Linked DNA regions of Ovis aries. The protein of the gene in region 3 purifies or fractionates together with the protein of the main gene of each other region. This does not show direct contact. Links are inferred from orthologs where the notes say so. Each region holds a gene or a part of one and is shown on either strand. Other genes may lie near its edges.

What was found.
Region 1: the proteins of NXF1 (region 3) and RANGAP1 purify together in Homo sapiens (co-immunoprecipitation; 3 studies listed by BioGRID and IntAct, with this or other methods). This does not show direct contact. The link is inferred for Ovis aries from reciprocal best matches to the Homo sapiens genes NXF1 and RANGAP1.
Region 2: the proteins of NXF1 (region 3) and FYTTD1 purify together in Homo sapiens (affinity purification with western blotting; 3 studies listed by BioGRID and IntAct, with this or other methods). This does not show direct contact. The link is inferred for Ovis aries from reciprocal best matches to the Homo sapiens genes NXF1 and FYTTD1.
Region 4: the proteins of NXF1 (region 3) and E3 SUMO-protein ligase RanBP2 purify together in Homo sapiens (co-immunoprecipitation; 5 studies listed by BioGRID and IntAct, with this or other methods). This does not show direct contact. The link is inferred for Ovis aries from reciprocal best matches to the Homo sapiens genes NXF1 and RANBP2.
Region 5: the proteins of NXF1 (region 3) and XPO1 purify together in Homo sapiens (affinity purification with mass spectrometry; 3 studies listed by BioGRID and IntAct, with this or other methods). This does not show direct contact. The link is inferred for Ovis aries from reciprocal best matches to the Homo sapiens genes NXF1 and XPO1.
Region 6: the proteins of NXF1 (region 3) and SRSF7 purify together in Homo sapiens (affinity purification with western blotting; 3 studies listed by BioGRID and IntAct, with this or other methods). This does not show direct contact. The link is inferred for Ovis aries from reciprocal best matches to the Homo sapiens genes NXF1 and SRSF7.

What each region holds. Positions count from the first base shown.
Region 1 is NC_056056.1:218,235,226-218,238,725, forward strand, and holds part of RANGAP1 (ran GTPase-activating protein 1), read right to left. Parts: intron 2,190-3,500; coding exon 2,055-2,189; intron 71-2,054; coding exon 1-70. UniProt on the Homo sapiens protein: GTPase activator for RAN. Converts cytoplasmic GTP-bound RAN to GDP-bound RAN, which is essential for RAN-mediated nuclear import and export. Mediates dissociation of cargo from nuclear export complexes containing XPO1, RAN and RANBP2 after nuclear export.
Region 2 is NC_056054.1:191,214,674-191,218,173, forward strand, and holds part of FYTTD1 (UAP56-interacting factor), read right to left. Parts: intron 1,946-3,500; coding exon 1,817-1,945; intron 1-1,816. UniProt on the Homo sapiens protein: Required for mRNA export from the nucleus to the cytoplasm. Acts as an adapter that uses the DDX39B/UAP56-NFX1 pathway to ensure efficient mRNA export and delivering to the nuclear pore.
Region 3 is NC_056074.1:37,645,512-37,649,651, forward strand, and holds the start of NXF1 (nuclear RNA export factor 1), read right to left. Parts: upstream 2,801-4,140; 5' UTR 2,688-2,800; coding exon 2,660-2,687; intron 1-2,659.
Region 4 is NC_056056.1:62,089,397-62,092,732, reverse strand, and holds part of E3 SUMO-protein ligase RanBP2, read right to left. Parts: coding exon 3,269-3,336; intron 2,721-3,268; coding exon 2,619-2,720; intron 1-2,618. UniProt on the Homo sapiens protein: E3 SUMO-protein ligase which facilitates SUMO1 and SUMO2 conjugation by UBE2I. Involved in transport factor (Ran-GTP, karyopherin)-mediated protein import via the F-G repeat-containing domain which acts as a docking site for substrates.
Region 5 is NC_056056.1:46,606,438-46,609,937, reverse strand, and holds part of XPO1 (exportin-1), read right to left. Parts: intron 3,041-3,500; coding exon 2,912-3,040; intron 2,270-2,911; coding exon 2,111-2,269; intron 1,181-2,110; coding exon 983-1,180; intron 649-982; coding exon 510-648; intron 314-509; coding exon 132-313; intron 53-131; coding exon 1-52. UniProt on the Homo sapiens protein: Mediates the nuclear export of cellular proteins (cargos) bearing a leucine-rich nuclear export signal (NES) and of RNAs.
Region 6 is NC_056056.1:85,423,837-85,428,078, forward strand, and holds the start of SRSF7 (serine/arginine-rich splicing factor 7), read left to right. Parts: upstream 1-1,442; 5' UTR 1,443-1,548; coding exon 1,549-1,576; intron 1,577-2,612; coding exon 2,613-2,793; intron 2,794-3,028; coding exon 3,029-3,205; intron 3,206-4,077; coding exon 4,078-4,152; intron 4,153-4,239; coding exon 4,240-4,242.

The DNA.
Region 1 (3,500 bases), on a different chromosome or scaffold from region 3:
CCAGGGCAGTGACGCCGGGGTGGTTGATGCCGTTCTGGGGCATGTGGACCTCCTCCAGAGTCCCGATGATCTGCCAGGGGCAGGAAGGAGAGCAGTGGGCCCCGAGGTGTGGGGCGGGGCCAGGGGACACCCCGCGGGCAAGAGGGCAGTACCACCCACCAGGCATGGGAGGGGCTTGTCTGTCGGGGCACAACCACACCTGATCCTCTCCAGTCTCACGAGGGAGACCTACCTGGGATTAGGACCATCACCAGACAGATGACTGAGATCAGAGGGGCTAAGTCACTGGCCCAGGGCCACAGCTCTGAGCACTGGCGTCTCTGTCTGGCACCTCTGCACTGCAGGGACCCTGGGCTCTGGCCTGCAGTCAGCCCAGGCCCTGCTCTGTATAATGCAGCGCCGCTTGGCCTTTCTTCATGGGGATCCTGCTGCCTTATTTACAGAGTACGAGTGGCAGCCCACGTTCTGCATCCTTTTCTGGGAGTGAGGGGGCTTCCTGAACCTAGCGAACCCCCTCATTCCAGTCTTCCCTACCTCCTTTTCTCTGCCTGGAACACTCTGTCTCCTCCTTTTGCTGGCATTTTCTTGACAGGCTGATCCTCATGTGTTCAACAGCTCTCATTTTGGATGCCTCCTCCCCCAGGAAGAGTTCCTGGATTACCCTACCCCAACCCCCACCCCCAGCACAACCCAGCACTCTTCCTCTCTGCCCCCAGAGTGCCTCATCCTTGCCCTCTCACGGTGTTCATCCCTCTGAAGTGTCAAAGCCACCTTCCTGTCTGCATCCCAACAGCCCCCAAGATCTCAAGGAGAGGCCCACGACCCAGTCTCCAACACCACCCTGGAGGGGCTGAGGACAGGCCTGGCCTAACTCTGTACCCAGGCACCTTGTCGGCTCTGGGTGCCCAGCACAGCATGGGGATTCACAAATGAACACAGGCAGCCCAACTGAGGCACATTCCAAGTCAGGGCTCTTAATATTTTCTGTGCCACGGACCATCGGGCAACCTGGTAAAGCCCCAGGGCTCACCTTCTGGATGTTTTTAAATTTTAAGCTAACTTATACAGACTAACAAATCAATTCAACTGGAAGACAAGTATCAAAACATTTAGAAAACTGCCTAAATGTCTGCTGTAGTCATACACATACCTCTTAATAAGACCTTGGTGTACCCTGGTGTACCATTAACCTTAATGTATGAGAAACAAATAACTCTGTCTATCCACAACTGCTATCATTTGACATGAAGATACCTGTGATTTCTCCTGGTAACAAAGCCACAAGAATTTCTGAAGCTGAAGTTTACTGTCCACATTCACCATGGAAGGTAAATGCTGCATTTTATTAGCTCTGGTAGTGAAACAATCATGCAATATCCCCCTGGCCGCGTTCAAAGCCTTCCTGAGCTCTATTCACAGACCAGTGGGGTCCCACAGCGTGCATGCTTGGTCATGCCCAACTCTATGCAACACCACGGACCATAGCCCACCAGGCTCCTCTGTCCGTGGGATTTTCCAGGCAAGAATATTGGCGCGGGTTGCCATTTCCTACTCGAGGGGATCTTCCTGACCCAGGGATCGAACCCAGTCTCCTGTGTCTCCTGCATTAGAAGACAGACTCTCTACCACTGAGCCGCCGGGGAAGTCCACGGAGCTGACCTAGACGCCCTGCCCTGAAGGACGCCTGAGAGCGCCCGCTCCAGCTGCTGCTCCTGCCCTCCTCCCGGGCTCATGGGCCAGCTTCACGGGCTCCATCCCAGCACCCTCCTCACTGGAGCCAGAGACTGCGACCCCACAGGCCGGGGCCAGCACTCAGGCTGCTCTGGCACTGCCGCTCGTTCCCCAGACTGGCAGGTCACAAACAGCACTGATGACTCACCCCAGAAGGCGGATCACGCCACCTTTCAGACCTGAGTGATGAGGATCCTGTCCCGAGAGGGTGAGCTAGCAGCCTCGGAGGGGGAGGCGAGCCGCCCGAGGTCTCTTGGCCAAGTTCTAGCGTCCGCCGGCCATGCTCAGCCTGCCCCAGGGCAGGGAGGGCAGAAACCACTCACCCCGAAAGCTTCTGCCAAGGCGGTGGCTCCGTCATTCTCCAGACGGTTTCTGCCGGCCACGAAGACCTTCAGTGCCAGCGGCTTGCCTTGGGCACTGGACTTCCGATGGCACTCGGTCAGAGCTGCTGCCAGGATCTGGGGGAGGCAGGAGGCCCTGGTCTCCAACGTGCCGCACCAGCCACATCCCGGGTGGATGCGGGACGACAAACGGCCCAGCAGCAAGCCCCTCAGCTGGGCCCAGCAATTTGCAGGAACACGGGCTGTGACATCCACCTCTGTGTCCGCCTGTCCCGTCAGCCTGTGGGGCTTAGCCCCATGGTAGGGACGGGGAGAGGGAGACATCAACACCGAGTGATGTGGGCAAGGGGCTTCATGGTCGGCCCACTGCAGCGCCACGACCCTCTGTCAGGTGGGCACCATAACTCCCACACTCTGGCTGAAGGAACTTCGGCTCAGAAAGAGACAGAAACTTTCCCGCAGATACCACACAAGCAGCACACCCTGGACGGAACCCGAACCTTCTGGCATCTCCTCCACGCTCCGCAAGGCCTCAGGGGAGCCAGCCAAGAGGGCAGGGCTCACCCCACCATGACCCAGCTGACACCCGCCCAGGCTCCGCCCAGCCATGCAGCGGGGGCTCAGCTCCTGGGAGTAAAAACCTAAAACCGGGTTTGCCCTGACCCTGGGGTGGTGCCAGGAGGCGGCCTCTATCTAGTGACACCAACAGAGCGAGAGGTCACAAGTACCAGTCGGCTGGTGGGTTGGAAGTGGAGAGACCGCAGTATAGAGAATAGAAATGGCTCTCGGGCAGTGCAGCAGCAGAGACGCTCACACACACCTGCCAGGCCCTGAGCGCTCCCGGCCAAGATGCTCTCACACCTCATTCAACCTCAAAACCAGCCAGGAGACAGAAGGTATTAGCCTTGCTCTACAACGAGGCAGCGGGGTCAGTGTGGCTGCATACAGCTCTACTCTGGGGCACATACAGGACCCGGGACACCGCCAGCTTGACCCTGCGACGGCGGGGGTCGGGCGTGTGCTCAGGTCAGAGCCCGGCGACTCTTGCTACAGGCCAGCCTGAGGGATCTGCAGAGGCGGCTCTACTCCGGGTGGGGCTGGACTGGTCTCCTGTGGTGAGGCAAACACTGTTGCCTTAACACACAGCTTACTGCCCCTAGACCAGAGGCGTGCGGGCTGAGACGGTCCAGCATGAGCTGCCCACCCTCCCATGGGGCAGGAGGCGATAGGCCATGTGCAGGGCAGGCCACCTCAAGCACACACAGGCGCCTCCAGCTGCTCTGACTGGCCACGGGGATGCTGGTTCAAATCCCACATCTGGCCCATGCTAGCTACATCATCTGAGGCACTCAACCCAAGAGCTCTAAGCTCAAGTGCCGTTACCTGAAAAGGCAGGGACAGTGTCACCCACCTCTCAGTAAGCGGGGA
Region 2 (3,500 bases), on a different chromosome or scaffold from region 3:
TTGAGTGACTAAATTACATTTCAGGAATAGAATTGTGAAAACTTTATTCTCTTATGTGTTCAGTCATCAAAAATAAATGATTATTTGGTAAGGGCTCTCTGCTTATTCTGTTACCTCAACCTAACATTCTCACTGACATTACAATGTGGAAATCTGAACTTATCCAAACCAATCAGAGCTTAAGAAAATCCCATCTCTCTCTGAACATTCAGTGACAGGAGCAGCTGTTCTATTTTAGGCCCTGTCACATGGAAGTGGAGAACATACAAGCACAAATTCAATCTTAAAAGATCCTAAGGCACTTGCAGATCTTTAGCTCAACGCTGAGATCATAAACTCTGTAAAAGGAAAGCTTTTCTGATCCTTCATGAAGGAGATCCTATTTCACCTTATTGATTAAATTACCACCGATTATCTTAGCACAAAATGCCTATCTAAAATCCTATAGTACTATCAGAATTTCTCTTATGATATTTCTCAACTCAAGTGTTTTTCCTTATCTGTCACCAGAAGTTCCTTGAAGTAAAAGACTGTGTCTTTACAAACCCAAACAAGCTGGTCAGTTCAGAGTATTTATCAGGTATTTAACAAATGATTAACATAAACAAATGTATTTCTGGCTTCTATGAACTCTAAAATTATTTTAATATAAATCATACTTAATTATGGTATGTTGAGTAACATTTATAAAGAAACCTCAAAATATAAATCACTGGAATTAAATATTAATTTTCTATAGCTAAATACCTGTCACAAGATTTATTCTCTTGAGTCCAGCTATCCAAGAAAATTATTAGGGAAGAATAAATTTTTCTGTACAGTCTAATTTTAGTTACAGGTATATGTTGAGGTTATGTTGGCATATCAGTTGTTAAACGTAGGATTAATTATGTTCAATCTATTGGAGATTACTTGTTGTTTTTTTAACATATAGGACAAAAATCAACTTAGGAATTAGTTTATCAAACTTTTTGCACATGTGTAAAAAAGATCTTGAGTTTTAAAAATCTGAACAAATGTTTATTCTAAAATGCTGATGTAATTGCTAACAAAGTTAATGAGTCACATATAATTAATAGTATTCCCTTACTGCCTTAAGTCCATTTTGGAACAAGATGTTATAAATAAATAAGCTTCTAGATTACTAAAAATAACTGTATATGTAGAGTTCCAAAATAACAGACCACATCTAAAGCATTCAATTCTGTTTTACCTTTGGAGAATTTAACAAATCTTAAAGGTCCTGCATAAGATAAGTAACCTAGAAATAATTTTCTGTGCAAAACAGCAGTCTCCATGTATTTAAAAGGTTTTCATATAAGAAAGGTAATTTGTTTCCTATAACTATAGAATTAACAGGAAGGCATGATTTAATTCAAATTAAGAGAATTTTCTAGTAAACAGTGTGTCTCCAATAATGGAATAAGTTATCTTGTGAGGTGGTATGTTCTCCCACTGAATGTATTTAAGCTAGAGTTAAACAGTCATCCATCAGACAGACTAACATCTAACCGCAAAGGGGACTAAGACTTTATGGTATGGAAGATCCTTTACAAATCTTTATCCCTAAAAATAACAAAGACTTTATATACCGAGGTTACTTTAAAATGACTTAATGTTTTTAGGACACACGGTTAATCACCTATTTAAGGAAACCTGAATTGCTACCAGATTATAAGATTAAACAAAACCCTGAGAGAAGGAAAAACATAAATCACTGATATATTCCCTCCATGTTTTAAATACATATCAAAGATAGTATACTATGAACCCATAAATAATTGGCATTTTATTAAAGCTTACTTGCAAAACTTACCAGAATTTTGTTGAATACCCCATCTTACTCTCATCCTGAATTGCCTGGCACCACTTTGCTGAAGTCTTCTATTTAATCTCGGGAAATTCTGCTTCTTTCCTTCCTTTCGATTCAATTTGATGATATCATCTGTGATAGACAAAATGTGATGATTATCTTCATTTTAAATTAATGACTCAATCACTCAGTCTCATTTTCTAGTTGACAGATTTCCTATGTCCCTAACTTCTTTTCTACCTTGGAAGCACTTCCTTAAAAGGATAATAATGCTAAGAATATAAAAGCTCAAATCAGCCAATATATTTGGAGCAGTGAAGAAAAGTTTCATAGGAAAAGCTGAAGTCAAAAGACCAAAACAGAGCTAGTAATTAATGAAAATTTCTATTTTTCATAGTATTTCTTTTCCTAATATATGTAAATAAGCAAAACCTGTTTACAAAAATTATCTGTATTTATCTTCTATAAACACAGAAGTCTCCAGTTTTAAAGATGACCACCTTTCAATAAAACCATTGGCAATCAAATAATAAATCATTCATAAACTAAATTTCTAAGTTCATCTCAAGTTAGCAAATCTTTACTGAGTATAAGTTATGGTACGATGAATATATGTGGCAGGCTGTGCCACAATAGAAACAAAAGTAAAACATGACTACTCTCAATAAATTTAAAATTAGTGAAGGAAACCGGCATATAAATAATGAACACAAAAGACCCATAAGTAAACAAGTACCATAATAAAGGTACAGTACAAAAAGAAAACACTACTGGTTCTCTGCTTGTTTAGCACAGCAATTCAGGGTTACCTTATTTTTCTTTCTACATAGTTCTCTCTTTTTTTTTTGGTCATGCCAAGGGGCACATGGGATTATGGGATTTAATTCCTGGACCAGGGATGGAAACCGTGCCCCAAGTGTAAGCTTGGAGTCCTAACCATTGAACCTCTAGGGAATTCCCTCTGCACTGTTCTAAGTCTCATTATCTCCAAAAACACTTTCAAACTGTCCCAAGGTAATTCACAAACAACACACTGCTCTAATATCACAAAAGAACAATGTGAAGATCAGGAAACTAAATGTACTCCAGATCCTATTTACATATGTTAAAAGGAGATTATTAGCAGACAAAAAATACACATTTAAAAATATTCAAACAATTTCTCTGAAGTTCCAACTCCAATTCTGAATTGAAACTACAGCAAATAAATCAAATAAACTGAACACTGTCAACACTTCTAAATAAAATTAATGACACTAACAAACCTCAGTTATTTTTTTCCAAATTGCTCTAAATACAAATAATTTAACAACTGTATCAATATAACCATAGTCTTTTCTAAAGTCAAAGAAAGATATATAGGGATCTTTTCTCATATAGCACTACTCTATTTCACCCATCTTTCACATTTAAGACTTTAAATTACATTCAAACAGTCATATAAAATAATTCAAATCTCTTCAAGAAGAGATAAATCTTTCAGGTACAAAAAAATTCATCAAAGTTAAAGGCACTCAAAAACAGTTTTTATAAAATACAAAGATTTCACAAATCTCAGAGGCATGAACATGTTAAATTCTCAGTAAGCAGAAAGAAAATATAGTTAGAAAGCCACTACTTTCGAAGCACTACGTTCCTTTAACAAGGTGCTATTTATTCTTCACCAAAAGTCCGAAATCTCAGTCAT
Region 3 (4,140 bases):
TTCCCTACCCACCTCTCCCTGGTAACCATAAGTTCACTCTCTAAGACTACCCCTACTCAAAATTTGATCACATCTTGAAAAGTCAATCACAATGATTACATCAGCTTTCAGTAAACAATACTTCTTTTGCCTATAAAGCACAAATGTCAGTTACAACTACGACCAATTGAAAGGCTTCTTTTAAGTCTTGTTCTCACCTCAAAACACTGAAATTCGAACTACCATATGATCCTGCAAATTCACTCCAATTATATATCCAGAAAAAAGAAAAAAAGTACTAATTTAAAAAGATGCATGCCTAAATGAGGAAGTGGGGATTAACATCTGCACACTACTATTATCTGAAACAGATAATCAACAAGGACCCACTGTATATAGCACAGGGAACTCTACCCAGTACTGTAATAACCTCCCTGAGAAAATAATCTGAAAAACAACAGATACATGTATAACTGAATCACTCTGCTGTAAATCAACTATACTCCAATATAAAGATTTTTCTTTAAAGCATCAAAACTAAGAAAAAGGGAAGAATACATATGAGCTTCACTTGTTTTCAGGTCAATTAAAAAAAAAAAGATACCTGCATCTCATTGTTCACAGCAACACTGTTTACAGAGGGAAAGATATGGAAGCAATCCAAATGAACATCAAGGGACTAATGGATAAAGATGTGGTATACACACACACACAACGGAATACTACTCAGCCATAAAAAAAGAATGAAATCTTGCCACTACAACAACATGAATGGACATGGAGGTTATTATACTTAGTAAAGTAAGTCGGAAAAAGACAAATACTGTCTGATATCACATATGTAAAAACTAAAACGAATATATTTAGCAAAACAGAAACAGACTCACAGATATAGATAACAAACTCCTGGTTATCAGTGGGAGAGGGAAAGCAGGAGGGGCAAGATAAGGTTATGGGATTAAGAGATACCAACTACTAATGCCACCCCACTCCAGTACTCTTGCCTGGAAAATCCCATGGACGGAGGAGCCTGGAAGGCTGCAGTCCATGGGGTCGCTGAAGGTTGGACACGACTGAGAGATTTCACTTTCCCTTTCATGCATTGGAGAAGGAAATGGCAACCCACTCCAGTGTTCTTGCCTGGAGAATCCCAGGGACGGGGGAGCCTGGTGGGCTGCCGTCTATGGGGTCGCACAGAGTTGGACACGACTGAAGCGACTTAGCAGCAGCAGCAGCAGCAGCAACTACTAAGTATAAAATGGATAGGCAACAATAATATATTATTGCACGGGGGGTGACAGCCATTATTTTGTAATAACTTTTAATGGGGTATAATCTATCATAATACTGAATCACTATGTTCCCTTTCATGTCATACCTGAAAACTAATATTATGTTGTAAATCAACCATATTAAAAAACTGCCACTCTGAAGTGAATGTTGAAGTGACCCAAGGGTAACTGGACACAACTCATTCTCCGAAAAGTCACCTGAAATCTGCTGTCTGCCCACCCACATCAACTTAACCCCAAGTGACCTCTTTCATATCCAGGTAAACCAATCATAATGATTACATTAACTTAATCAATACTCCTTTTGCCTACTGAGTACAAACATCAACTACAAGTATGATCAATCTAATGGTTTCTTTTATAAATTTTATTCTCAAACTCTGGAGTTCCTCTCAACTGTGGTGTGTAGAAATGGCTTCTGAAAAAGAGCCCTATGAAGTGAAGTGAAGTGAAGTCGCTCAGTCATGTCCGACTCTTTGCGACCCCATGGACTATAGCCTACCAGGCTTCTCCATCCATGGGATTTTCCAGGCAAGAATACTGGAGTGGGTTGCTATTTCCTTCTCCAGGGGATCTTCCCGACCCAGGAATCGAACCCGGGTTTCCTGCATTGCAGGCAGACACTTTACCCTCTGAGCCACCAGGGAAGCCCAGTACTCTGCAAACATTGAATCTCATGAAACGACCCTAGGGAAAAAATAGACGACTAGAAGGTGCAGTTAACATTTATCAATAAGTTTATCCGATGTCAGGCGCTCGACGCACACGATCTCGTTTTAATACAAACACACACACATGGAGACAAACTCAGGAGACAGGTACTGTTTCTATCCTCCTTCAGGGGATGGAAAATCAGGCCTGAGTGTTTAACTCACATATGATCGGCATGGCCAACAACCACTACTCTGGATCTAAACCCATTGTAGTGTTCTGGCTAAAACAGTGAGTTAAAGTGTAGGTCTAGAATATTAAAGCTAAAGCTGCGGACGGCGGGGGAGGGGGCAAGACCGACTGGACGCACGGTAGAAAATAGGGCACCGGCAGCCCAAGAACAGGGTACTGACTCACATTACTATAGCCGCCAAACTGAACTGACAGGCATCCACCACCCACAAAGTTCAAAGGAATCCAGTCACCTCACCGCCGAGCCACCCGCTCCGAGCCGCAGGTGCTCACAGCGCCAGGATTCTGGGGTCAACGAGCCGGGCACTCACCCTCGAGTTCAGCCAGGGCCCGGGCTGCCTCGCCCCGGGCCCGCGCCACTCACTGCCGTTCCCCGCGGACACCCGGCCCCTCGCGGCCTCCCGCCCCGGCGCTGCGGCCTAGGCCGGCGCTGCCCAGCGGGGCTCCAGATCGCCCCTCTCCCCGGCCCAAGGACCAGCACTGACCGTTGTATGACTTCCCCTCGTCCGCCATGGCACAGCTAGAAGCAGGGGCGGGCTGCGTCGCGGGCCGCCACTTAGCCAAACGTCCGAATGCCCAGGCGCTCTAGGTCGAAGTGCTCCTACGCCGGCTACCACCGCGTTTATAAGGAGACCGTGTCGCGCGCTGTCGACGTCCCACGATCATAGGCGGAGCCGCTGGGAGATGCGCGTGCGCATTCGACCAGCAGAGACACCGGGGCGGAGCTTGAGGCCGACGCTCCGCCCAGTAGTGATTAGTTTACTGATCCCCCTGATTAGTACTCGCACCTGCCCTCTGCTTTCATCGTCGGCCGGTAAGCAGCACCTCCAAGGTTGGCACTGAAGCAGAGATGGCCACTGCACCCCAGGGTTCAAAAAGAAAAAGGGAAGGAGGGCCACAAGAAGGGCTTCTGAGGAATGGGAGACCAGTGCCTTGGAGTGACCGCTTCAAGACCCCTAGGAGGATCCAGCCTGGGCTTAAGTCTCAGCTCAGCCCTTTGCCTTCTACAGATCTATGCCTTGCTTTCCTTGCCTATAAAATGAAATAGAAAACTAGAAGGTAAGCTCCAAGAGAGCAAGGAGTTGACTAATTCATGGCTTTTTTTTTTTTCTCCCCAGCACCTGGCTCAGTACCATACCTGGCATGTACCAGGAACTCAGCAAATATTATGAAATAAATTTCCAATCTATGCAACACCCCCCCCCCCAATAGTTGTGGAGTCAAATGAGAAAAACTGCATTTGTCAGGCTTTGATCATCTTCACAGATCACCCCACCCACCATCAATGTGCTGTGCTTAAACCCACATCGTGTGTCAACTAAAGTTAAGATGCAAGCAAGAGCACCCCCTGGACACAGGTCAAACGGAGAGCAAATACTAAAAGGCCAGGGCTAAGAAAGGCCAGGGCTCTCCTAGATAACTACCGCCCCCAACCCCAAGGTACTACAGCCAGCCCAGTGTGTGACTGTTGTCACTATAGCTTGAGCTTCCTTTGGGGTGTGTGAAATTGGGGTACTCCAGTGATCTCAGAATGATGTGGTTGTGGGTCCTGGTCAGGACTGACAAGCATATTGACCTTCCAGGGTAGGGTAGGTATTCCAGGCAGATCTCTACTTCATTCTCCTGTGACTGGTTTGGATTTGGTGAGGGGCTTCAAGAGGGGACCAAGAGCCTCAGCTGGAGCTGGGAACAAATTCTTCACCTTTCACTCCTGGCAGCAGGCAGAACTCCTGCTTCATCCAGCCCAAGGAAAACGGTAGGACTGGAAGATGCAGATGAAACAGGTCCAAATACTTCTGGAGATGGTCCTAGAAGTTACCACTAATCAGAGACCCACTCTGGGATCGTATACCCTGCTTTGAAGGGAATTTTCCATGATAATTAAGTACTGCTGCACTGGGTTAGGCCTGCTGGAAGCAGCTGTGTATACAGAGCCCAAAGCCTGGCCCCTCAGGGTCATCAGTCC
Region 4 (3,336 bases), on a different chromosome or scaffold from region 3:
CTCTTCTAAGGTAAATGGAATGAGAGCTTCAACTTCTTGCCCAGGTGGCACTGGTGGCCCCAGGAGCAGCTCACTGGCCCCACCCCACCCCACCCTCTCTCAAGCAACACCAGGCTTAATGGGTGAAAAGGCTCCCCACTCCTACGCAGGGGAACAAAAACTTTTCCCTCCCTCCCACCCTGGAGAAGGTGAACACTAAATGCTGTTTTTTCCACATCTCAACTCTGACAACCCAGCCTGCTAATATTAATACATTCCCCACTATCTTAGCGGAAAGAAACCTCTCAATTCTTCATCACTTTGCTGACTGACAAACCACTGCTCTCTAATCCTACATCTGATACAAAAACTCAGGAGAAGGCAAAAATTGTCACAGATCAGTTAAAAACTCAGCACCTTGAAGAAAGAACAAAATGAGTGTCTAATGAAACAGTAAATTCTTCTAAGACAGGTTTAACTGGGAGGAAAAAAAACAGGAAAAAAAAAAGTCATACGAATAAATAGCAAATGAATGCTCAAACAAAAGTACCATCTCAGATTGTGTGGGGGCTTCCTGAGAATAAAGCATAGACCTAGTTGATTCATAGGTGTAAAGCTCAAAAAGCACTTGTTAGGAGCTCCCAAGCAGAAAAAAATTTTCAATTACCCCAATACCCTGAGACATATGGCAGAAAATCTCAAAATTCCTCTAAAGCAATGGTTCGTAACATTGGGTGCATATTAAAATCACACCAACAGCTCCTATGAAATACCAGTGCCTGGGTCCCACACCCAGAGCCCAACATGACTTAACTATCAAGTGTTCCACCTATCCCTTTAAAAAGCTCCCAGGAATTCTAATATGAAGCAGAGAACTGAAAACCACTGCTCTAAAGGGGCAGGAAAAAGAATTTATTCAGTAAAAGTATAAAGATAAGTCTGGCAATAATCAATATCAACAACTGTATTCTAGGTAGCAATACCTAGGAAGCTTCCACTCTGGGTTTAATGGAAACATTACAAAATCTCAAGGAAATATGATAAAATGTCAGGCACAGGGAAGCAGCAGATAAACAGCTGTTTCTTATTGTCTTAGTTTCCATATGAAATATTACACAAAAGACACAGAGTGACTGGTCGACCTGTGTGATGACGACTTTCAGGAGAAACAGAGAAAAAAGAACAAAAGAAAAGAAAGTGAGACAAAAATAAAATGAACAGATGAAGAAAAAGCAATCACCACAGAAATAACACATAATAGAAGAGGAGAAAGAAAAGACTCCTCCGGACTTAAAACCAACCAAAACAAAAAGTTTAAGGTCAAAAAGGTCCACACAAGGCCAGAAATATGTTTGAGAAGCAAAAAATCATTCTGATGAAACTGACCTTCATTAAAAAAAAAAATTTTAAATCCTACAAGCTCTTAGTCAAAGGCTAAAGTATTAAAAATTTACAAATGTGAAAACTCCCCATGAAAATACATGAAATGGATTCCAGGGAATTTACAGTTACAAAATACTATTCTGTGCTTATAATATTAGCACAATATTAATTAAAGTAGACATTCAATACATAAGAAAACTAATCATAATTTAAAGGAAAGTAATGACAAATCTGGAGATAAAAAAACAAAAGAACTGATAAAACCAAAAGCTACTTATTTGAAAAGATAAAGTACAAATTCCTGTCAGATTTAAGGACACAAACTAAAAGGTGTAGCTTGGAAAAAAAAAAAGAGCTTGGTGGATAATCTCACTGAATCAGCAGGTAACTCAGGGCAAGCCTCCCACACAGATCTGGAGCTGTTCGATGTCAACTTTACTGCACAACACTGACGGAGTATCAAGCAACCTAACACATCAGCTTGTATCTGGCTTTTCATTGGTGGGTAATTGTACCCATTCTATTGCTGTATTTGCTGACCTATTATCCTGTGACTTCAAACTACTAAATAAATTAAAAATAAAGCAATGTGACATCAATGAGGCTATGAATTCCAAAGTAACACAACATCTGAAGGTAATTTCTTAAAGTTTTATATATGTTTCTATAAATGATGGAGCTGTGACACAAGTAAAATATGTGAGATGGAATAACACTATTTTGAATTAATCATGTAATTATATATCTTCAATAAAATTTATTCTGCAAATCATCAATTCAGTTTAGGTGGTGGTGCTGTAATCTGTTATATGATAGATATCTAAGAATAGGAAAATACAGTATACCATAAACAAGGAAAAGGATTATTTTCTACAAATGATACCAAAACAGACCAAAACTAGAAAAACCACTGGAAAAGATGGGAAAGCTCACCAGTTATAAATTAGCACAACCCTTATATGAAAAATACAATCAAGGATAATGCAAAAATAGAAAACTTCAAAGTCATCTCCTAAACAATTACAGATGCACATCTTGAAATATTAGCAAATCAAAAGTATAACTAGAAGAACAATCCCAAAGTTACTCCAAAACTGGAGGGAGGGTTCTGCATTTCAGGATGGGCAAGACTAGCACAAGTGACAATGAATTAAGAGAAAATTCTTGGTGAGCGACAACCCTGCAACGAAGGACTCACCCTCCAGGGGTGCCCACTTCTGTAACACAGTCACTGAAGCCTCTCCTCCTAATCTTACCTTTGGATCCAAAAGCAAAATCCCCAGAGTTACTGGAAGCCAAGTCTGCAAATGACAGCCCTGTGCCACTTCCAAATCCAAACGTAACTGTTTTGCTTTCCACTGGCAAAGGAAAAGAGCAATTTTAGTATTTCATTTAACATATGTTGAACATCAAAGATTTACCCAGGACCCAAAGGGAAGGCGTATGTGTGTGTGTATGTTGGGAAGGGTAGGACCTGCTATGCTACTGATGTGGTGGGGTGGGGGTAAGGAGTATTTATAATCTAGTTATTTCTCCGAAGAAAACTTACAAGTTTACAGGTACTATTTATTCTCAATGAACAATACACCAGAAGCAGCATGCTTAAGATCATTTAAAAAAATGAGATGTAGATCTATACTAAGTCAGACAGAGAGCTACATAGCTTCTGCTTCACATGGTCTAGTATCATCTAAACAAACATTCATTCCAAGAAGGATTTCAGGAAATAGCTATGTAAAGATTCTGTGTTCACTAAGAAAATTGAATTACCTCATGCCCCTTTGTACATCTCAGTTTAAGAAAGGGAATTCCTGGATGTACATTTGAAAGTATCGTCTCAGAACCACTGTACCTTATGCAGAAATTCATGCCTACAAGGTTGCTATAAACATACATCAAATTTTACCTTGGCTTGTAGAATCTGCATCATTTTCCTTTCTAGTAGATAAATCCACAGGTTTGTCAACAGTTCCA
Region 5 (3,500 bases), on a different chromosome or scaffold from region 3:
TAATAGCTTTATTATCTTTGCCTCTTTTCTGTTCACATAATCCTAATAGGTCCTGTAAAGTAAGAAAAATTTCAGTCATTTATAGTAAAATACACTAACAAGGTTCTAGTTCACACCTATCTCTTACATACCTTTATAACAGTAACAAGAAATCGCTTTTCATCCTCTTCATGCATTGCTCCACTAATGGAGCCTATTGCCCAACACAATGTATTCAAATTCTTCCATGACCACTCCGTACCATTCACTTGATTGTGAAGCTTCTCAGTCATTATTCTTTCTGTATCTACATAATCCAGATGAGTAAGATAAACTACAGGAAAGAAAAAAATTCCACGTTTTAAAATCCAAAACTTAATGAGCAAAAAGATTTTTACTAAGACCAACAGCACTCTAATAAGGATGGCTATTGACAGACTCAGAAACTAAGCATGTTTCCTAAACAGTATTTCCACAAAAGAATACAATTTTAAAAATAAGGATTAAATTAATAGTATTTATTAACTTACCTAATGTTTCTCTCATATTCTTATACAAATTTATGGAATCTGTATCCTTCATGAATTCTCTTACAACTTCTCCCTGATCATTTTCTACAACTAATACTTCCTCTGGTTTAGCCATTCTACTAACCATTAATAAACGGACCTATTCAGCAATTAAAAAAAAAAAATCTGTTAGATCTCTGAAATTAGTTACATCAAATATAACTCCCACTCTCAAAAAATGGCACTTAACACCAACATACCAAACACAATCATGCCCACAATATAAAACAATAAACATACTTAAAATGTAATTCTACAATAAATTTCAATCTAAACATGGACAAAAACAACTGTTAACTTTCCTTCATCTCATTTGCATTTCTAACAAACTCACAGATTGTGCTTGGATAGAATCAGCCAAAAAATAAAAGCCAGCATTTTCATCTGGTCCTCCAAAATCAGAGAAAGCACACTCAACCACACACTGTTGTTACCTTGGACAATACAGGCAAATAGAGCTGTCTCCTAGGAGGAACATCAAAATGCTGACTTCCAGATAGCAACGGAGAGGCAGATGTTGAGAACGGGCTTTCTCTATAGAGTTCAGCTGCCAGGTGATTCCAGTACTCAAGACAAATCTTAAAGATTTCAGTTTCCTCTACTTCGGATACCAACAACATATAATGAAGGGCCTACACAGAATACCAAAACTATTAAAACAATCCTTAGACATTACTAACAACCTCAAACTGTTTTCCATTTGCTATGTTAATGGGAAATAAAAATTCATATTGCTTTTTGTACACTCTGAAGTTTCACCATTTATCAAATATACAATAGAAATTGTATAGGAGCAAAGTGCACTTTCTTCTGACATGTCCTAGAACATGCTAAGAAACTTACATGATTGTTAAAAAGTATGGACATCAAACGATATTTGGTAATAGCAAAAAGGGAGAAATAACTCAAATGTTCAACAGATGAACGGACACAAAAAATGAGGTATATCCATATAAAGGGATATTATTCGGCATGAAAGGGATGAAGTACTGACGTATGCTATATAACATGGTAACATGTTAAGTGAAAGAAAGCAGTAACAGAAGTCCACACATTATAATTCCAATTATATGAAAGGTTTAGAATAGGTAAATCCATTGAGTTGTAAAGCAAATTACTTGTTGCTAGGGACTGGAGGGAAGAGCAGAACGGAATGACTTGTTTCAATGGGTACCTTATCCTTTGTGGGTAATGACAAAATGTTTCAGACTAGAGAGATGGTTGAAAGCACTGTGAATGCACTAAATGCCACTCATGCGACCTGAAAGTTGTATGTTATTACACCTCTATTTTACAATAAGGTTTTTAGACTTTGCCTCTCAGAAATGACACATATGCACACTTATTGGAATTTAATTTTCATTATAAATTACTGATCTGACATTGAATAGAACACAGAAATCAGGACACTTGGCTTCTGACTAGAATCCAGAATTGAGAGCATGTATTGTATTGTGCAGACAAACAATAAGATATGTCAAAGAGTATGTCAAAAGAATTTTAGAACAAAAGCAGTTTCAATTATTATTAATTTCAGAAGCCAAAAGCTCCACAAAGCCTACCTCCATGAGTGTTTCCCTGAGATTTAATCTTTTTTCTATAAGTTGACCATGTTCTTTAAGAAAGGTGCAGAGAAACAAACTGAGATTTTGAATAAAGTTCTGTTCATCATCCTTTCCATTTGAGTATGCAAGTCGAATATTGGTATTTAGAGGAAGCATCTGCAAATTTAAATATGGATAAGCCTTCAAAATAACAACAAAGTTACTACATTTAAGTTCTAAATTTCCATCACATTTTATGAATTTTAAAACATAATAAATAGTTATCTTTCAATAAAATGCCTTGGTCTATTATATCCATTTTTGTACCTTTCAGTCCTAGCTTTTTTTTTAAAATCAAAAGCATAGTAAGATTTCCTCAAAGACAATCCTTTGAAATTTTTCCTAAATCAGTTTTCCCACCTTGGTGTTATTAAAAATGTTCAAATATATAGTTGATTCAGATTACAAATATATTACGTAGCAATGTAGTTTTATGATTAACCTTCTAGATAATTTCATATATACTTAGTCAACCTAGGACTTAGCCAATTCCTTTAATTTAAAAGATGGAAAGGTCAAAGGCAGAATATTAAACCCCAGGTAACCAAAACTTTAAATTCTGCAGAAATTACATATCAAAACATTCCCAGAACATTTCAAGGATTCTCAAAATTTCTAGCTTACCCTTCATTTTATATAATAAACACAGAATTGCACTGATCTATTTATGCTAAGCTGTGGTGAAATGGTTCAACTGAAATCCAACTTTTTCTAAGGCACTAAAATTGTTTAGTCAGTTTAATAAGAGGGTTACATTACCTGTTTTAGCTGCATCATTGTCAGCGTAAACAGCGTTACAAATTGCTCCTCATACTGGCTTACACTCACACCAGCAATCTCAGTGAGGCACTTCAGAGAGACATTTCGAAACATTGGAACATTCAGGAACTATTTTAATTAAAAGAAAGGGGAGAGAGGGAGCATAAAATTAAATAGCCTGAAACACTTCACTTAAAATTAACAATTAAAAAAATAATGAAGGATTTAGAAATCAGGAACACTGGGGGAAAAGAAAACAGGCAAATAGATGGTGATACAGGTTTTTGGTATCTATATTTTAAGGAAATTTCATTATCCACCCAACAGCTAGTAAATGCTTTAAAAGCAAACCATGCTTTCTTTGATGTGTCTTTAGACATCTGAAAAACACGAAGTTGCTTAGAAACTTTCCCCATGAACTACTACATGACTTTTAAAGATATGTTTTCTGTATAATCTGAAAATATTGTAACTGTTTAAGATCCTAAGAGATCTTAATATACCTAAGATTAACAAAGGTATAGGGAAACTGGCTCTTATTTTATTGTTGAGAAGGAATAAATGTAGCCTCCTGTTTGTGGGTGGCAAC
Region 6 (4,242 bases), on a different chromosome or scaffold from region 3:
TATGTAAAGGATCGGTATTGCTTAATACTTTTAGGAAGAACTCTGTTAAGTAGATAACAAAAAAAAAAAAATAAGGGAGAACAAACATAACAAACGATGAAACTTCTATTTTCTCACTAGAGATTTTCTTGAGGTAGACCAATTCCTTCCATAATTTGAAAAGTTATGGCAATAATGTAAAACCTTAGCATTACTCTCAGATAATTCATTTTTTATTTACCTGAAGACATGCTAATTTAACTAAGTCCCCTTTCTCCTGTACTGCGTATCCCACATCTATACATACCAAGTGAAGTTACATACAGCAGATGAAAAAGGAAAAAAAAATAGAAATACCTAAGAATTTCCTCTTGTTTTGTGGGACATTTGCAACTCATGTATTCCAAGTATTTACAGTGCAATGCTTTTTTTTAACTGGATGGTAAAAAAGTGAAATCTGTATTTATAGAGCTGGTGTCTGGCAAATACACTGTATAAAATTGAAACTGCACTTTTAAGCGATTCTAACAAAGAAAAGATTTTCATTTATTTGATATACAGAATGACTGAGCAGCAAGGCTGCTTACTCAGAGACAACTTAAGAAACTCCCCATCCTCAGGATACAATATTAGTGGATGAGATGTGGTACTACAGTGCAAAGCAGAAAGCACTAGAAAGGGGGCACAGATAACACTTTGTGCGTCAAATGCAAATGGTTTCAGAATTGCCACTACCACAAATGATTTAAAGATTTAGGATTATGTCACGATTTCAATAAAAAGAGGTGGGTGGGGGGACCCTCTACTTCTTTGTCCTCCTGACTCCGAGAACTCGGACCGTGTTGGGGAAAACTGGTGGCCGGTTCGGAAGGGGCAGAAGGGTCGGTTCAGGGCTGCCGGTCCCTTGGGGGCGTCACCCCTTTTGAGGCCCATGGTGGTTTTGAGGACCACTACTCAGACAGTCGGGGTGTAGGTGGTTCTCACTCTGTCCCAAGCTCCCGATTACCTCTGACGAGCCCCAAAGATCAATGAGTAGCAGTCGAGGTCAGGTCCCCTAGCAGAAAGGCGGCGGCAGCAGCAACATCAGCGGTTAAATCTTACACCTTTCATGAGGCCTGAAAGAAGATTACCACAGCTAAGGGTCCCTAGATGCGAGGGAGGGTAAATGAAGGCGGGGGGGGGGGAGGAGAATGAGGGAAGGAACATGAGGGGAACACAGGGAAAAGGCGGGGGGAGGGCGGGACAACGCGGGGAAGGGCCAAGGGTTTACAGACAGGATCTCCGCGTTGCCACGGAAACGTATCCCTCCGCCCAGGATTCGCGTTTCAACCCCATCAGTTACCTACGCACCGCTTCTCTGCTGTTTCCGCCCAGCTCCTTTGTGCCGCGCAGAACGTCGAGATGACGCATGCGCAACGGAACCCAGCCGCCGCATATATAAGCGCGAACCCAGGCGCTTCCTCGTAGTGCCGCCGGGACCGTTGGCGTGTGAGGCGGTTTGGTTGGTTTTGTATTGATCGTTCTCTGGGCGCTGCGAGCTGAAAGAGCCCAGCTCGCAGGCCAGTCATCATGTCGCGCTACGGGCGGTACGGAGGAGGTAAGAGGCTGGAGGCCAGGAAGGGAGGTTGCTGTGGGTGTAGTGAGTATTTAGAGGTCGTGAGGTTGGCGCGGCGGTTGGGAGACGGTTATTCCGCGTGCGTAATGGCGGCTTCGGCGCACACCATACGAAGCTGGAGGCGGCGGCCGCGGGGTTTCGCAGGAGGACGGCGGGTGGCTGGGGTAGGTTTCCGGCGGGTATCTTTCAGTTCTTGGGCATCTTAGTCTCCCGCCCAGCCCGAGCCAGCCCCTCGATCACTGTTTGTTGTTGCCCTTCTTCGAGCTGCCCGCCTGCCCGCCCGTCCCCCACCCTCCCCCCCCGCCCTCGGCTGCCATTTTGCGCACATTGACGACCATGGTGGCGCATTTCTTTGGCGCTTTCCCGCCACTTTAGCTGACAGATGTGGTCGCAGCCGTAAAAGAAAGGATGAATTTAAGACTTAGAAAACTGGCAGCTTCGAGCTACGCATTCTCGTCAAACGGTCTGATTGCTGAGTGGGCATGGAAGCGTGATTTTTAAGTCTGGCGGCTGGTTTTTCTCTCTTGGCTTTTTCGAGCATGGTTTATGGCTTCTGAGGCGGGGAGCTGGAGTCACGGGCGAGCCTGCGCCTGGGGCGCCTGCTGCAGAGTACTGGAGTCGGCGCAGCCCCGCTCCCGTTCCGCCTTCCGCTGGGGCCCGCTCACCGAGAACGCCGCTGCCGCCGCCGGCCCGCGCGTTCTCGGTGTGCCTGGGGCTGCCGGGACTCAGGGGCGGGACCGGGGCGGAGTCCGCTCCACGCCTCGGAGTATCCTACCACGCTGCGGTGCTCGTATTTGGAGGTTTCCCGCGGGGCTCCCCCCTCCATTGAATGTTAAGAACTTGGTCGTACGCTTAGCTTTTCAGAAATGTTACGAACTTCGCTGGTTTAAAGACTAACATTAGCCCTTGATAGAGTATTAAATGTTTTGCACTGTAAAAAAGAATATATGTAAAAAATTCAAACTTGGGCCAGATTATTTGCATAATGTGCACTCTTTCCTTTGCGTTTTTTAAACAGAAACCAAGGTGTATGTTGGTAACCTGGGAACTGGTGCTGGCAAAGGAGAGTTAGAAAGGGCTTTCAGTTATTATGGGCCTTTGAGAACTGTGTGGATTGCCAGAAATCCTCCAGGATTTGCTTTTGTGGAATTTGAAGACCCTAGAGATGCAGAAGATGCAGTTCGAGGCCTGGATGGAAAGTAAGTGAGATCTTGGTGAGAATGTTCCTGTGTCAGGCTTGAATTTTGTAGTCTGGAGGAGTTTTTAAATAATTAGCTGATCACTTTATGAAGACAGGAAATGAAAGCAAAAGTGAAGTTTGAAGGACTTATATAGTTGGAGCTTCTGAGGGCAAAGAGAGTGGTTGGAAAGTGCTAAATATAGAGCTCACCTTTTTTTTTTTTGGCGTTACAGTTTTGTTGTTGTTTTTTGTAGAGTTATTTGTGGTTCCCGAGTGAGAGTTGAACTATCAACAGGCATGCCTCGGAGATCTCGATTTGATAGACCACCTGCCCGACGTCCCTTTGATCCCAATGATAGATGCTATGAGTGTGGCGAAAAGGGACATTATGCTTATGATTGTCATCGCTATAGCCGCCGAAGAAGAAGCAGGTATTTATTTTAATAAAGGAATGGTTAGTGTACTAGTTAATCAAGTAATTTTTTTATTAGCAAGGCACAAACGTATTTTTCTGTAAACTTGAATGTTAATTGTTACAGGTGTATTTTACAATTTTTGTTTAATTAAAGAAATGTTAATGTATTAATAATCAACCTGGTCAAAACCTTTCAGGTTTCTTCGTTTGAGTCAGTCGCCTTGATTCAGAATGTCACGAGCCTTATGATATCATGCTGAGGCGCCTTGCAAATCCGACAATTAAGATCCTCCTAGACCTTGAGGTGATCAGCATAAGAGGCCAGATCCCCTCGAGTCATCTACACCTAGCTTCACCTTATTCTTTAAAGGGCAGAAAATTTGAGACGGTGATCGCCGTAACAGTAAATTTGGCTTACAATTGGGGGCCCCTCCGGTTTAGAAAGAGGAACACCAGATTGACCACATTCCCAACTAGAAAAATCTTCTTGCGTCAATCAAGCCTCACCTGGCTCATTTGGCTGTCAGTTTGATCGTCGTGTAGATTGAAGAAAACATCTAGATGCAGCGATCGGCTATAGATACTTCTAGATCGTCTAGATCTACTAGACCATGGGCCAAAGAGGGTCGACCTGCAAACTTGCAAGGTTTATTTTAAATACACATTACAGTGTTTTATATTATGTTAATCTAAAATGTAATTGAGCTTTTAACAAATCTTTTTTTAGGTAGTTTAAAAAAAAAAAAAACGACAACTAATAGGCCCAGAGTTTATTTCCAAATGAGACACTAAATTTAAATAGTTTTGAGATTTGGTTTCAGCAGAGGCACACAGACTCTAAGAGGAGTTGCCATCTAATATTATGTTTTTTTCTGACTTGAAAAATAGGTCACGGTCTAGATCACATTCGAGATCCAGAGGTAGACGATACTCTCGCTCACGCAGCAGGAGCAGGGGAAGGAGGTGAGAGATCTTGTTTAAATTTCAACTTGTAAGTAGTGGTGAAGTTTAATTGGAATCAAATTGAAATTACTTTGATTTAATGTTTAGGTC